3 linked regions of the Saccharomyces cerevisiae S288C genome follow. Changing the gene in region 1 together with any one later gene gives a genetic interaction. Each region holds a gene or a part of one and is shown on either strand. Other genes may lie near its edges.

Region 1 (5,788 bases):
CCGCACGAAAAGTTTATAAAATGACGTATCATGGGGGGGAGTGTTGAATCAAAAAAGTGGCGAGCTAAAAATAAAAGAAAAGTGTACGTGGAATGAACTGTTTGCTGAGCTCATCCTACGGTCATTTTAGCCCGTGCCAAGGGAAAGTGACTATACGGTGGGGTATCGCGGGGTAAGGAGACTCAGGTACAAAGGCAAAAATCAAGATAGGCACATAAGAAGGCACGAAACTACCCCACGTTTCAAGTTTTGCTATATCCCTTATTTATTGCGCGCCCTGCAGGAAAATAAGTTTTAGGCACTTAAAAAATAAAGTTCCCGGGGTCAATTTCTGGTAGTGGCAAGCAAAGTATACTGAAGTTGGCAAGCAACACGTAGCCTCTGCATATATCGGCCTTTCTCGGAATGAAATAATCAAAAAAATATTATGCGGGAAGCCGCTGTTTTATTGAGCATTCTAATGCTTTCTTTTTCCCAGCACCTAAACCACACAATACTTTACTCCAGTTCCGTATTTGCCCCTCCCATGGCATCACGCCTATACCTTAACTGTTAATTCTCACCGTCCCCATTATACTAGGTTTAAAAAAGAAGGTGGTCAATCCTGTTGATATCTGTATCTCTATATAACAAAACTTCGGTATAAAACATTCACACTTCGAGTAAAATCAGTACCTATCTTCATGGACCCTCCAAAATGTCAAATTGTTATCAAGCGATTGATAACTCTAATGCACAGGTGTAATACCGTTTTACTACTGTCAAAGAAACTACATATAGTGTGAGAATCCAAAGCTAACATTTTCGAGTAACTTCGGGTTTTAATAGATTATTATCTGAATGCGAAGTTCAACATTTGTTGTTTCCAGCGGCCTTCTTTGTTTCACAATACAGAAACTAATATATATATATATATATATATATATACGCTGCAGTTCATATTTTAGTCTATTTTTTGAATAAAGGTTCCATTTTGTCGGAGAAAAGATTCTTCGACTTTGCTCTAGAAATTAAAAACGATGGAATATTAATCGTCCCAAGTAACGGTAGTGGAAATTGGCCAAACCCTGCATTTGGCCCAAGGGAGACACCACTTGGGGCATGTCCTGTCTCAAGACAATCTGCATCAACGAGACTAGCCTCTGTTCCTTCTTGTAAAGAACTTATAACATTTCGGGTCAAAACATCAACCCAATTATCTCTTTTAACCAATCCGTGATATCTAAAATTCGTTACATCACCAATGGCAAAAACGTTTCCTGCCTCAACAGCTTTTACCCTGAAGTTTTTTTCAACTTGAATGAACCCTTTCTTGTCACAAAGGTCTGAAATACTGTTGACCGGCACATTTGGAGAAATACCAACGCCTCTGTAAATCAAATCAGCATCTATATATTTAGATGAGCCCTCACCTAGAAAAATACGTTTCGGCGAGGTGTCTAAAGAAGCCCCTACTGTGTTCAAGTACAACGTAATACCATTTTTTGAGAGATAGTCTGTCACATTTTTTCTTAGGGTATCGTTGTATAACCCAGAGTCCGGCAGTAGCTTATCGGAATTATGAATAATGGAAATACGCTTTTTGCCAGACCTGATCTCCTCCAAATACTTGAATAACAATTCACCAGCTAGTTCACAATTAACAAAGCCACCGCCAAGAAAAAGTATGTGATCTGCATCTGAGATTCGAGAAGCCTCTCTTTCAAAATACTCTTTATAGTTATCCCCGAAGGTATAAGTTGAACCAATTGGATCAGCCCACTTTGAGCCAGTTGCAAGAACCAAGATATCAAACTTTATGGCCCTGTCTGACCCCAAAACTACCTCCTTATCATCAAAGCTGGCAGCCGTATCTTTGATAACTTCAATACCACTATCAAGAACATTTTTTAACGGCAGGATCGACTTGGTATAATCCTTTGAAACCGTCAAACGGACAGCTGAGGGTAGAAAATACACATAATTAGATGCTGTGACGAGCTTTATTGCGTATGTCCCACCCAGTTCCCTGTACAAGTGATTTGCCACAGACACACCAAACACACCAGCACCAACAACAACTATGTTCTTTGTGTTAATTGTCATATATTTTGCAATTTCTTTCTTCCTTTCTCTGCTCTTTCCTGTAAATAATGAAGAACAACGATGAGGAAATGTGTGTCTATCAATGATTTATCACTGCTTTCGTTTCTAGTCTGCAGCAGCTAATATATTAATACTTATAATAGGCTTCATTTGTCCAGCCAGATAAAAAGGACTAATCATGCAGGGTGGACATTCAATTAATTTTTATCGCTTTTTAACGATTACTAATCCAGTATTACCAACTACAATCACTCAGTCATGTATCACTAATAACGAAAAGTAAGCTGTACAATGCTCATCTTCCTAGCACTACTAGTACTGCTACTATGAGACACCATTGAAGTCTTCTTCAAGACCCCCATTATGAGAACACTTGGCTCACTATACAATCGGCGGGAGATGGGTTGTTATTATAGAGAGTTTCAGGAAAAGCACTCCTAGATTCTAGTCAAGTACTGCCTATTGTATAAGAGACGAGGGCACGAGATAGCGCAGTATTTTATGATGAAAATATGAAAATAAATACTTAACTCATTGAGTAAGCTTAGCTGGGCAACTTAACTAACAGTCAAAAAAAAAAAAAAAAAAAAAAAACAAGAGCCAGCAAACTGACATTAACATTGATCAATAAAATAAGAAAAAATGTACCAGAGAATTCGATTATGAACTGATGACAATATCATTAAAGACTTTGCACAGTATTCAAAAACTAATCGAGAGCTTTGACCAAAAAGTGTCCCGACTTTATAATGAGACCGCCGCTTAATTCATAGGAGTTATATGGTATGCTTTGGAAAGCTATTACATTGTTTGATAATTCAAAAATAAGCCACAATACTTCACCTATTGTGTACCATGTATTATAAAACATCGCAGCTCGTATCTGTAAACATACATTGACTTACATTTTAGTGATAACTTGGGTACTTGAGTGAAGTCCATTTCTCCCGTGCTTCCGGAACATAAACCAACATAGATTCTCTTTCACTCGAAACTGCTCGAAGCTGTTGCTCTTTTTTTGATCGTGGCTTTAACTATAAAACTCAACAGCTGCGTGATGAACGCGCTGTCAACAAATTTCATCTTGCGAATTATATAAAAAACACTGCGAGTGATTAAACCTCAGTAAACTTGTTACGTACCTCATAACATTAATGTGAAATACACTATATTGAATATGGGGGAAGAGATTAGACTTTTGTCCTCTAAAGGTCTTGAGACCCATAGTAGCTTTTGTTTGCCCGAGGATATTTTCAGAAACCGTTTAACATGGTTGTGCAGTGAGATTCGCAACTCAGGATTTTGGATCTGGTCGCTATCATGGTTACCGCTTGCCGTTTGGTGGGGGATGGCCAGTACTTGGTTTTATCCCCTTCTGACTTCAGTAGTTCTAATCCTGGCGCTAATTGCTATTTTGCCAGTAGTTCAAATACAGTACAGTAAATATACTTTATCAAATCAACTCACCCAGCTTTCTAAAGAAATCATCAAAAGTGCACCAGGTGCATACTCTGCTGATTGGGACGCTGTTGCAATACATTTCAATTCCTACTTGTATGAAAACAAAGCATGGAAAACTGCACATTTTTTTTTTAATGGTACTGACTGCCAAGAAGCATTCAGGAAAACCATTCTAGAGCCAGCTGTTTTGAGGAGACAAAACGAAGATCCTAGGTTCAGTTCAATTGAGATTTTGGTCCCTTACACCGAAGACGCGGTGCAGGTTTATTTTACAAAAGTAAACGCACAGTGGAGGTTGATCCATGGTAAGAAGGAATGCAAACTTACTATGTTGGAAAATGTCAAGCTTCCTAAGGAAACCTATCGCTGCAAGCTAGCATGGAGTTGCCAGAGAATCAGGATTTCTTTCTCTCCACTAGACTTCCTTCCTGATATGTCTGACTTCTTTATTTGTGCAAATTTATCACCAGCATGCTTGGTATCTTATTGGCTAATAGACATTTTCTTTAGAATGATAGATGATTTTCAAAACATAAGGCCTAAATCGATGAAAGTTGATGATAAAATGCAGTACCTATCAGATATTATAAACGAGCAGGGTGCTAGCCCTGAAAAATGGGATACAATTGCAAGGAAAACGAATACACGATTATTTGAAAAGAGGGTCTGGAAAAACGAAGAGTTTTTCTTTGATGGGACTGATTGTCAGGCATTCTTTGAACGGAACTTTAGTAGCCTTTTGTTCTCAAAAAAATCTGCGTCGCCTAGATCATTAAACGTTGAACTTTGGAAATACATTCAAGAAGCGCAATTGAGCTGTAACTATGAGCCGTTACCATAAAGATAGAAACATTTATTTTGACTTAGAAGCTACAAGGAGGATCAACTATTAATATTTTTCCTAGAGAACATTTTTAAAATTGGATTCAATAAATTAGCGCCATCTATTGCCCTTACACTTTTCTCCTTCATATCTGGCTAGAAAAGGGGGGGTTACATCTCGGAATCAAATATTTTCCTCTGCGTCGAGTTTTAATCCTGCTTCTGGTTACATTCTTTTTTATCATACACGATTCTTTGAACATCAACTTCTCTCAAAACCATCCGCCTTCAGCGGCTACAATTACGTAATTGCACCAAGGCATTCGCGGAGAATTCACGAATTTGCAGACGCCAACAGTATACGACTCCCAACACACGTCTAATATCTTGTACGGATTTCAAGAGATAGAAATATTACTTCCATGGAAGCCGTTTAGAGCAGACTGAATATGGGCTTAGACAATAAGCTTCTGAACGAGGGTCTTAAATCTAAATTCGGATTTTCTTTTTGACCGAAAGCGGAAACTTCGCAGGCGCGCAAAAGGGGTTTTCAAGGCACCTCGGCACCCCTATAATTGGCATTCTCACATTCTGCGCATACGAATACACATGAGTGCCATAAAACAGTACTCCACATACGAAGTCTATCAAAGATGTATGATTCGTTCAAAAACAAGAACATCTTCATAGTGATAATGAGATTGTGTGAAAGATGAGATATGGAGAATATGTGAGGTGCTAAATGAGCATCTGTTAACGAATCGTTTAAGTAGTGATAACAGATGGAGGAACGGGTATAAATAGAGCTGCTTCAACTATATGCCTTTGAGGTATGCGCTTTCATTTCACTATTTCTTGTTAAGATTACATCAGCACTAACAAACAAAACAAATACAATGGTCAAATTAACTTCAATCGCTGCTGGTGTTGCCGCCATCGCTGCTACTGCTTCCGCAACCACCACTCTAGCTCAATCTGACGAAAGAGTCAACTTGGTTGAATTGGGTGTCTACGTCTCTGATATCAGAGCTCACTTGGCCCAATACTACATGTTCCAAGCCGCCCACCCAACTGAAACCTACCCAGTCGAAGTTGCTGAAGCCGTTTTCAACTACGGTGACTTCACCACCATGTTGACTGGTATTGCCCCAGACCAAGTGACCAGAATGATAACCGGTGTCCCATGGTACTCCACCAGATTAAAGCCAGCTATCTCCAAGGCTCTATCCAAGGACGGTATCTACACTATCGCAAACTAGGGAGTGATGCCTTTACGAATGAAAATCCATAGACAGTGAAAAGTAATGAAAAAATAAAATAAAAAACTACTTTTTTTGATGATATAAATACCGTTGATTATATAAATGTATATTAATATTATAGACCTATTTGATCAATGACGGTGTTCGTGAAGTATTTC
Region 2 (4,367 bases), on another chromosome or scaffold:
TAGAGAAAGAAAATTAAAAGCAAGAAAGCTGTTTAAAGTAGGTCTACTTGGGGGTGAATCCAACTCATTCAATAAGAAAGTGGAGCAACCGCTAGTGGATACGCAGGACGTGTTATCGGAGAGGGAGAATTCTCTTGATAACAAAAACGCATCCTCTATTTATATGACCTCACCAGCAGCGATCTCAGGCACCGTACCATCAATTTTCTAAGTGGTGTATATATATGTTCGAAGGTATTGTTGTAATATTTTCATAGTTGTATTCTTATTCCACCGGCCCCAGCTAAGCATTAATATAAGGATTCGTAAAACAAAATTATCGTTCACATACTAGAGAAAATATAACTATAAAACAAATTGATACCAATGTATATATTATGTTGTAAACTCCATAAAGATAGGCCGATCCTACTCGCCATTATTAATAAATTATAACCAAAAAAAATAAAGAACGCAATTTGTATGGGGTCAAGGAAGTCAAAACCATAAGCAACACATAACTAAGGACCCACCAGGGTGAAATCAACCATCAAAATAACACCATTGCTTCCATTTTCAATGCTCTCGACGGCATGAAATTTCTCGTCTCTGGAGGAAGCTACATAATATACTTCTCCTTCTTTTTTGAGTAAAATATCACCACCAGTTTCCGAATCGCTTTTCTTGCTTTCTGTGAAGTCAATACTCTGCAGGAGCGTACATCCTGGACTCACCTTCTTGTAGGAATTTTTATCATCATTGTACACTACAATATGAGATCTCACAAATTTGGAGATATTCTCTTGTATTGCCGTATCAAGTTCCTTCTCGGTGGCACCATCACTTTCAAGCTTATCAATATTATTCGGAAATTGCCACGGTTTTAAAGTAAGCTGAGAGACAGCCCTGTTCGTTGGTGCAATAATAATCAAATCTTCGTTGGGGTCACTTACTTTGTTATATGTTTCAACATCATTTCGCACATAGCTTGCAAATATTTGGACCTCGTTCACTAATGACAACTTTGATTCTAAGGATAAAGGAGACAATTCAGCCAAAAACTCTTGCTGCTTTCTTTGCTGTGTCCCTAAAATATCATCTAAATTCACTGCGGGTCTTGAAAAGTCACGCATTCCCTTATATCCTAATGGATAAGAATTTACTTGAGAATTATGTAGCCGGGGCGGTATTTCCTCTGGTGCTAACCGCTTGTGCAGCTTGCCATTTGAATCTTTGAAAGTAATTAAGTTGACGACGTTCTTACCTCTTACGAAACTAGGCTCCATTGCCCATATCAAAGAAAAATAAAGCAGCACACTAACAGGTAGATTGAATATCATGGTCGTTTTGTAAGTTTTTATATTATAAGGAGAAGTTATGAAGCAAAAGGGGATGACCGTCTAGTTGTTCTTGAAGATTAGTTAGCCCGATGACCGGATTTATTAACAAAAAAAACTGCTTAATCATTATTAACGGTGATATAAAATATTGACTGAACGAATGCTGAGTAGGCGAGGCAGGCACCTAGTCTCTAAACCCTTCATATTGATCGCTAATAGTTGCTAAAAAAGTGCGCAAGCCCGGAATCGAACCGGGGGCCCAACGATGGCAACGTTGGATTTTACCACTAAACCACTTGCGCTCACAATTGTTGGATTTGTTTTATCATCGACATACCATACCTCAATATGACAATAAATCATGCTAAATGTTCATAAATCACATATGAAACAATTCTTGCACTTCAGCTTCCTCTAACTTCGATGATAGCTTCTCATAACTTATGTCATCATCTTAACACCGTATATGATAATATATTGATAATATAACTTGTTGGAATAAAAATCAACTATCATCTACTAACTAGTATTTACGTTACTAGTATATTATCATATACGGTGTTAGAAGATGACGCAAATGATGAGAAATAGTCATCTAAATTAGTGGAAGCTGAAACGCAAGGATTGATAATGTAATAGGATCAATGAATATTAACATATAAAACGATGATAATAATATTTATAGAATTGTGTAGAATTGCAGATTCCCTTTTATGGATTCCTAAATCCTTGAGGAGAACTTCTAGTATATTCTGTATACCTAATATTATAGCCTTTATCAACAATGGAATCCCAACAATTATCTCAACATTCACCCATTTCTCATGGTAGCGCCTGTGCTTCGGTTACTTCTAAGGAAGTCCACACAAATCAAGATCCGTTAGACGTTTCAGCTTCCAAAACAGAAGAATGTGAGAAGGCTTCCACTAAGGCTAACTCTCAACAGACAACAACACCTGCTTCATCAGCTGTTCCAGAGAACCCCCATCATGCCTCTCCTCAACCTGCTTCAGTACCACCTCCACAGAATGGGCCGTACCCACAGCAGTGCATGATGACCCAAAACCAAGCCAATCCATCTGGTTGGTCATTTTACGGACACCCATCTATGATTCCGTATACACCTTATCAAATGTCGCCTATGTACTTTCCACCTGGGCCACAATCACAGTTTCCGCAGTATCCATCATCAGTTGGAACGCCTCTGAGCACTCCATCACCTGAGTCAGGTAATACATTTACTGATTCATCCTCAGCGGACTCTGATATGACATCCACTAAAAAATATGTCAGACCACCACCAATGTTAACCTCACCTAATGACTTTCCAAATTGGGTTAAAACATACATCAAATTTTTACAAAACTCGAATCTCGGTGGTATTATTCCGACAGTAAACGGAAAACCCGTACGTCAGATCACTGATGATGAACTCACCTTCTTGTATAACACTTTTCAAATATTTGCTCCCTCTCAATTCCTACCTACCTGGGTCAAAGACATCCTATCCGTTGATTATACGGATATCATGAAAATTCTTTCCAAAAGTATTGAAAAAATGCAATCTGATACCCAAGAGGCAAACGACATTGTGACCCTGGCAAATTTGCAATATAATGGCAGTACACCTGCAGATGCATTTGAAACAAAAGTCACAAACATTATCGACAGACTGAACAATAATGGCATTCATATCAATAACAAGGTCGCATGCCAATTAATTATGAGAGGTCTATCTGGCGAATATAAATTTTTACGCTACACACGTCATCGACATCTAAATATGACAGTCGCTGAACTGTTCTTAGATATCCATGCTATTTATGAAGAACAACAGGGATCGAGAAACAGTAAACCTAATTACAGGAGAAATCCGAGTGATGAGAAGAATGATTCTCGCAGCTATACGAATACAACCAAACCCAAAGTTATAGCTCGGAATCCTCAAAAAACAAATAATTCGAAATCGAAAACAGCCAGGGCTCACAATGTATCCACATCTAATAACTCTCCCAGCACGGACAACGATTCCATCAGTAAATCAACTACTGAACCGATTCAATTGAACAATAAGCACGACCTTCATCTTAGGCCAGAAACTTACTGAATCTACAGTAAATCATACTAATCATTCTGATGATGAACTCCCTGGACACCTCCTTCTCGATTCAGGAGCATCACGAACCCTTATAAGATCTGCTCATCACATACACTCAGCATCATCTAATCCTGACATAAACGTAGTTGATGCTCAAAAAAGAAATATACCAATTAACGCTATTGGTGACCTACAATTTCACTTCCAGGACAACACCAAAACATCAATAAAGGTATTGCACACTCCTAACATAGCCTATGACTTACTCAGTTTGAATGAATTGGCTGCAGTAGATATCACAGCATGCTTTACCAAAAACGTCTTAGAACGGTCTGACGGCACTGTACTTGCACCTATCGTAAAATATGGAGACTTTTACTGGGTATCTAAAAAGTACTTGCTTCCATCAAATATCTCCGTACCCACCATCAATAATGTCCATACAAGTGAAAGTACACGCAAATATCCTTATCCTTTCATTCATCGAATGCTTGCGCATGCCAATGCACAGACAATTCGATACTCACTTAAAAATAACACCATCACGTATTTTAACGAATCAGATGTCGACTGGTCTAGTGCTATTGACTATCAATGTCCTGATTGTTTAATCGGCAAAAGCACCAAACACAGACATATCAAAGGTTCACGACTAAAATACCAAAATTCATACGAACCCTTTCAATACCTACATACTGACATATTTGGTCCAGTTCACAACCTACCAAATAGTGCACCATCCTATTTCATCTCATTTACTGATGAGACAACAAAATTCCGTTGGGTTTATCCATTACACGACCGTCGCGAGGACTCTATCCTCGATGTTTTTACTACGATACTAGCTTTTATTAAAAACCAGTTTCAGGCCAGTGTCTTGGTTATACAAATGGACCGTGGTTCTGAGTATACTAACAGAACTCTCCATAAATTCCTTGAAAAAAATGGTA
Region 3 (5,383 bases), on another chromosome or scaffold:
GAACGATTGACCGTAAATGAACCTCAGATGTCCGATAAGCATGCCACAGTAGTACCTCCTGAGGAATTTTCTAACACGATAGATGAGCTATCCACGGACATTATACTTAAAACAAGACAGATAAACAAGCTTATTGACTCGTTACCTGGTGTTGACGTTTCAGCTGAAGAGCAATTAAGGAAGATTGATATGTTGCAGAAAAAGCTAGTTGAAGTGGAAGACGAAAAAATTGAGGCCATCAAAAAGAAGGAGAAACTTTTAAGGCACGTTGATTCTTTAATTGAAGATTTTGTAGATGGCATTGCAAACTCAAAAAAGAGCACATAAACTTAAGTTTTACAAAGAAATTTGCGAACAGAGGACAGAAAATGTACTATAGTTATATGGCAGAGTTAAGCGTATGTATGTTATTCTTATAAATAATTGTGCTACTCTATTTGTACCGGAGAATTATTGAAGCAATGGGAGAAAAATCATAATGGAGAAAATCTTTCTACGAGTTACTTTGCAAGGCAATCTAACGATTCTAAAAGACACAATACACTAAAGAAAAAACTTTGGAAGTACAGTTTTTTCCCCAAGTTGAAGTGTGGACTCATTGTGAAGATGTAAAAATGTAAAAACCAACCGACAATGCACTCCCAGCCAAATTCATTGTAGACCTCCCATTTGATAGAAAAGGAAGGTTCAGCAGTTGTCCACGGATTCCAAGATATCATTCTCTTACATTGCACGCACATGAAAATGATCATCGAGAGTAAGGATCCATACCATGCAAAATTAAACCAAACTGGAGAGTCTGTGTCTAACGTAATTGGCCATTTTTCCACGGCGAACGCATCTTCAAAAGTGACCTTATTTTTACCGTATTTAATATAGTAATTGTACTTGTATTGTTTGAAAATATATTCTTTGAAAAGATAAAGAAATTGTGACCAAGATAAGGTATGATTGAATTCTGCTGAAGAACTTATTTTGCCGATATAATATTCTATCATTGGGACTTGGAAATCGACTGGTAGTTGTACTGAGTCTATTAGAAAAGTGGTTCTTGGTATTACTGGGTACTCCATACATAGGACTTCTTGCTCAAAGCGGCCCCATTCAGGTAACCGAAGATCATGGCCCAATAGCCCACATCTCTGGCCGTTATTGTAAAAGCGTATCTCTGATTGAAGCGGTTTAATGTATTTATCATCTGCGTTATCCTTTTTATCATTGTTGATTTCATCTTTAATCAGGAGAACATCCCATCTCTCATCCATTCCTCCTTCGTAGTTTGAATCTTTCGTGCATGAAATTTGAAAGTCATAGTCCTGCTCGCTGATGGGAGGTTTAGCAGTGCTGGCTCTCAATAATTTTCCAGTAGATTTGTGTCTTAGTTTTATACTTTGACCAAATTCTACAGGTATCAATTGATCAGCATGGTATACCTCAGAAAAACTCAAATTTAATGTAGGATGTTCTATTAACCATTCATTGTCTGCCGCGAATTCTTCAAATGATAACGCTACTAACTGTTCGTCAACATCTGATGGATACGAAATATCGTGAGAAGCAAGATATCCGACCATAGAATCTAAATGACGTAATGTGATCGTTGATCCATAGTACAATCGACTCGGTTGTACTTGAGGGCCTCTTAAATAGGACTTGAAATATGTGCTCATATATTTTGAAAATTGTGGCGTGTCTGTCTTAAAATTCGAAAGTAAGTTCGAATAACTTATTATGAAGATGGAACCAGGGATAATCAAAACGAATAATAGACAGAGAATGACAAATTTTATTATTTGGATGGTCGTAACTTTAACGTCGCTTATCAGTCTATCAAATTGACGTACAAAAGAAAGAATTACGAAGGCCCAAGTGACAATTCCAATAAATTTAGAAGAGATTGCCAGCCCTAAAGAAATAGATAATGTAATCACATTAGCAAACCAATTCGTAGTTCCCAGTTTTGCAATTGAAATGCTTATAAAACTGTAAATTACTACTGAGAACAGACACCATTCTAAACTGTCAAATGATATAATAGTGCCCTCATTTCTGAAAGTTTCCCAGTTGGATAATATCAGCAAACCTGTTGCTGAAATTAAACGAGAGCAATTGATTCTCCTTGTTATCAGGAAAAGAAAACCTAAAGTCGATGAATTCAAAAACAAAGAAACGTATCTTAAATTTTCTGCGATCTTTAATCTTCGAATAATGGAGTAGAACTGTATTGTAAATGGTGGCAATTCATGGATGTAAAAAGCCTTGTCTAGGTAAAACTGAATTAATTGGGAAAGTTCTTGTTCACTATTATTGTCCCATGGTCGGTTCCAGAATGAAGAAGAGTGCGATTTCCATATTAATGTGAAATTGGTAATAACAATCAAAAACGCGAAAATATAATCAAGCGTCTTTAAGTGACCAATTCCACATTGTTGGAAAATATTATAGGGAATGTACTTTCTGTAGGGCCCCTGTAATCTCAAGTCCTTCATGTTTTGTAAGTTAATTTTTTTCTGTTCAAACACTATCGCCCTTAAGTGTCTACGTTCTTATTCTCCTTAAATAATAACATTTTTAGTATTCGATTTTCTATTTTTCCTTTCTTCATTACTTCATTACCAAAGTAAGAGTGACCGATGTAGGAAGCAATATTGAAAGGAAGGGAAGGGGAGCACAATGAAACAAAGGGTTAGTGTGATGAAAACGACAGGAAGTAACTATAAGAAGCAGTAAAGTTGAGACTTGCTGCACCATTTTTATTGCCACACCTTTATTAGTTCTTTATGAATCCTAAGCTGTCATCCGTAATATTGTTCCAATAGTGTAGCGGCTATCACGTTGCCTTCACACGGCAAAGGTCCCGAGTTCGATCCTCGGTTGGAACATTTGTTTTTTCACTACTACTATATTTTTAGTTGAATCCTAGGCCACATTTAATTGACTAATAGACTTAAGATCGAGATTAGTAATCTTCTGACTTTTTTCTACTGTGTAATTGTTGAATGATAGTCTCTATTTTATTGTTAAAGCCCTGCGGCCGGGTTACCTCTTCATGAGGGGTAAGGGTTGTCAATACAAGATGTGTCTAGTATTGAGAGTAATATGACGGCATCGTCAAGATTTGTACATCGACAAACATGTGCAACAGCTCTAACACATAATCATATCAACCACAGTACTCAGTAATGGCAAACAAATCACGACCCAAGAAAATCAAGGCTCCTTACAGGAAGTACGTGGCGGGAGAGGGTTTCTCCTCTACAAGAAATGATAATAAGGCTAAAGAATTCACTATCACTATACCGGAGGATGCAGAACTCATTGAGACTCCACAGGGGTCTTATTACTATGATGAAACCAATGATACTATAGTGAAATTGACACGACTGAGTAATGAAAAAAAGGATAAAAAAGGACGTAAGCAGTCGCCATCGTCATCATCGACATCGTCCTCCAAAGGAGAAAAAAATGGCAAAGTCATAGAGAGTGAGGAAGCGAGGATGCATTCAGTATCAGTAAAGATGGTTTTGCCATGGGAGATACAGCATAGAATAATTCATTATCTTGATATACCAGAGAAAGAAGAAAAATTAAATAAAACTGCTAATGGAAAAAAAACTACGACTGGTATAAATATGAACTACTTACTAGTTTGCAGAAACTGGTACGCCATGTGTCTACCAAAGCTTTATTATGCACCAGCGTTAACAAGTAAGAATTTCAACGGGTTTGTTGATACAATAATCATAAATAAAAAGAAGAATTTAGGACACTATGTTTTTGAGTTGAACTTGTCTACAATTTTACAAAGTGGTAGAAATTCATTTGTCTCCAAGCTTTTACGACGATGCTGTTCTAACCTAACTAAATTCATCGCACCACAGACAAGCTTTGGTTACGCGCCTTTGATTTCATTGAAATCGTGTCATGATTTGAAATTTTTAGACTTGGGTTTAGTATCGGAAACAGTTAAGCTGAAGGAGTTATTTTCTGCCATTAAAAATTTCACTAAATTAACGCATTTATCTTTTCCCAGATCGTCGATTGACTGCCAAGGGTTCCAAGATATTCAATGGCCACAGAATCTCAGGTACTTGAAATTGAGTGGAGGTATAACAAATGAATTTGTGATTGATACGAAATGGCCAACAACTATTACAACTTTAGAATTCTCTTATTGTCCTCAAATAACGGAATTGTCTATTTATTCGTTGTTATCACAGATCGGTGATAATTTAAAGCATTTATTTTTTCATTATCCGATGCCATCTCTGGCAGAAAATTCCCTAGACCATGTCTTCACGTACTGTGCTAATTTAATTTCTTTGCAGCTCATGGTTGATTACTGTTCTAAGTGGTGCTTTTCTGAATTCATGCTAAGTAAATTGGTGGAATATGATAGGCCTCTTAAAACATTGTACTTAGAATGCAGCGGATCCTTGGGATTAGCTTCTAAGATTCATCCCGATGACTTGACTATAGCCATACTGGAATCCAGGCTGCCCTGCCTAAAGAATATTTGTGTTTCTCCCAAGCTGGGGTGGAACATGAAAAGCGATGAAGTCGCTGATTTGGTAGTCTCTTTGGAAGATCAAGATGGCAGTTTATATCTTAATTATTAAAATGTTCATTGTTTGTTTTATAAGAGTCAGTGTTTTCTTTTAGACACTATTAGGAAGAATTATTTTATCCGGCCTAAAAAAAATATTTTACATGCAAACTTGCATATATTTTGCCATTGACACCAATTAGAATGTGTAATTTTCCTGGTTTATACGTTTCTCAAGATATGGTCGAATCTTCTTTTCTGCTCAATTGTAAGAAGCGAAGAAAAAAAGGAAGCTCCATTGATCTATCTTGGGCTCAGAATGATCTTAAGCAAAACAAAGAAACCTAAAAGCATGAATAAGCCAATATATTTCAGCAAGTTTCTTGTAACTGAACAAGTTTTCTATGTATGCACTCTCATATGTTTTTTTGTACCCCATTCGCACCATTGCGTTACTAACTATATGGAGACCTTATAATCTCTGCTTCTTTACAGAAGTCAAAATATACGTATGCATTGGTAAACTTGAAACCAATTGTACCCGGACATGTACTGATCGTTCCACTGAGAACTACGGTTTTAAACTTATCAGATCTGACCATGCCTGAATCTCAAGATTATTTCAAGACTTTACAGTTAATACATAGATTTATTAAGTGGCAATATAAGGCTGACTCTATCAACGTTGCCATCCAAGATGGACCTGAGGCCGGACAGTCGGTACCCCACTTGCATACACACATTATTCCACGTTATAAAATAAACAATGTAGGGGATTTAATATACGATAAATTAGATCATTGGGATGGTAATGGGACTTTGACTGATTGGCAAGGA

What was found.
Region 2: mutations in AIF1 (region 1) and YDR262W together harm fitness more than expected from each alone (negative genetic interaction), as found in Saccharomyces cerevisiae (one large-scale study listed by BioGRID).
Region 3: mutations in AIF1 (region 1) and PMT7 together harm fitness more than expected from each alone (negative genetic interaction), as found in Saccharomyces cerevisiae (one large-scale study listed by BioGRID).

What each region holds. Positions count from the first base shown.
Region 1 is NC_001146.8:776,654-782,441, forward strand, and holds AIF1 (Aif1p), read right to left. Parts: upstream 2,086-5,788; coding exon 949-2,085; downstream 1-948. Other genes in the region: COS10 (Cos10p), read left to right, coding at 3,263-4,387; YNR075C-A (uncharacterized protein), read right to left, coding at 4,858-4,950; seripauperin PAU6, read left to right, coding at 5,265-5,627. UniProt on the Saccharomyces cerevisiae protein: Putative FAD-dependent oxidoreductase involved in the resistance to cercosporin and other singlet oxygen-generating photosensitizers. Translocates from mitochondria to the nucleus under apoptotic conditions, where it degrades DNA and induces apoptosis.
Region 2 is NC_001136.10:990,086-994,452, reverse strand, and holds YDR262W (uncharacterized protein), read right to left. Parts: upstream 1,320-4,367; coding exon 501-1,319; downstream 1-500. Other genes in the region: exodeoxyribonuclease DIN7, read left to right, coding at 1-211; YDR261C-C (gag protein), read left to right, coding at 2,104-3,426.
Region 3 is NC_001136.10:1,072,971-1,078,353, reverse strand, and holds PMT7 (putative dolichyl-phosphate-mannose--protein mannosyltransferase), read right to left. Parts: upstream 2,490-5,383; coding exon 501-2,489; downstream 1-500. Other genes in the region: SRB7 (Srb7p), read left to right, coding at 1-327; PFU1 (Pfu1p), read left to right, coding at 3,183-4,619; HNT2 (bis(5'-adenosyl)-triphosphatase), read left to right, coding at 4,866-4,952, 5,042-5,383. UniProt on the Saccharomyces cerevisiae protein: Probable protein O-mannosyltransferase involved in O-glycosylation which is essential for cell wall rigidity. Transfers mannose from Dol-P-mannose to Ser or Thr residues on proteins.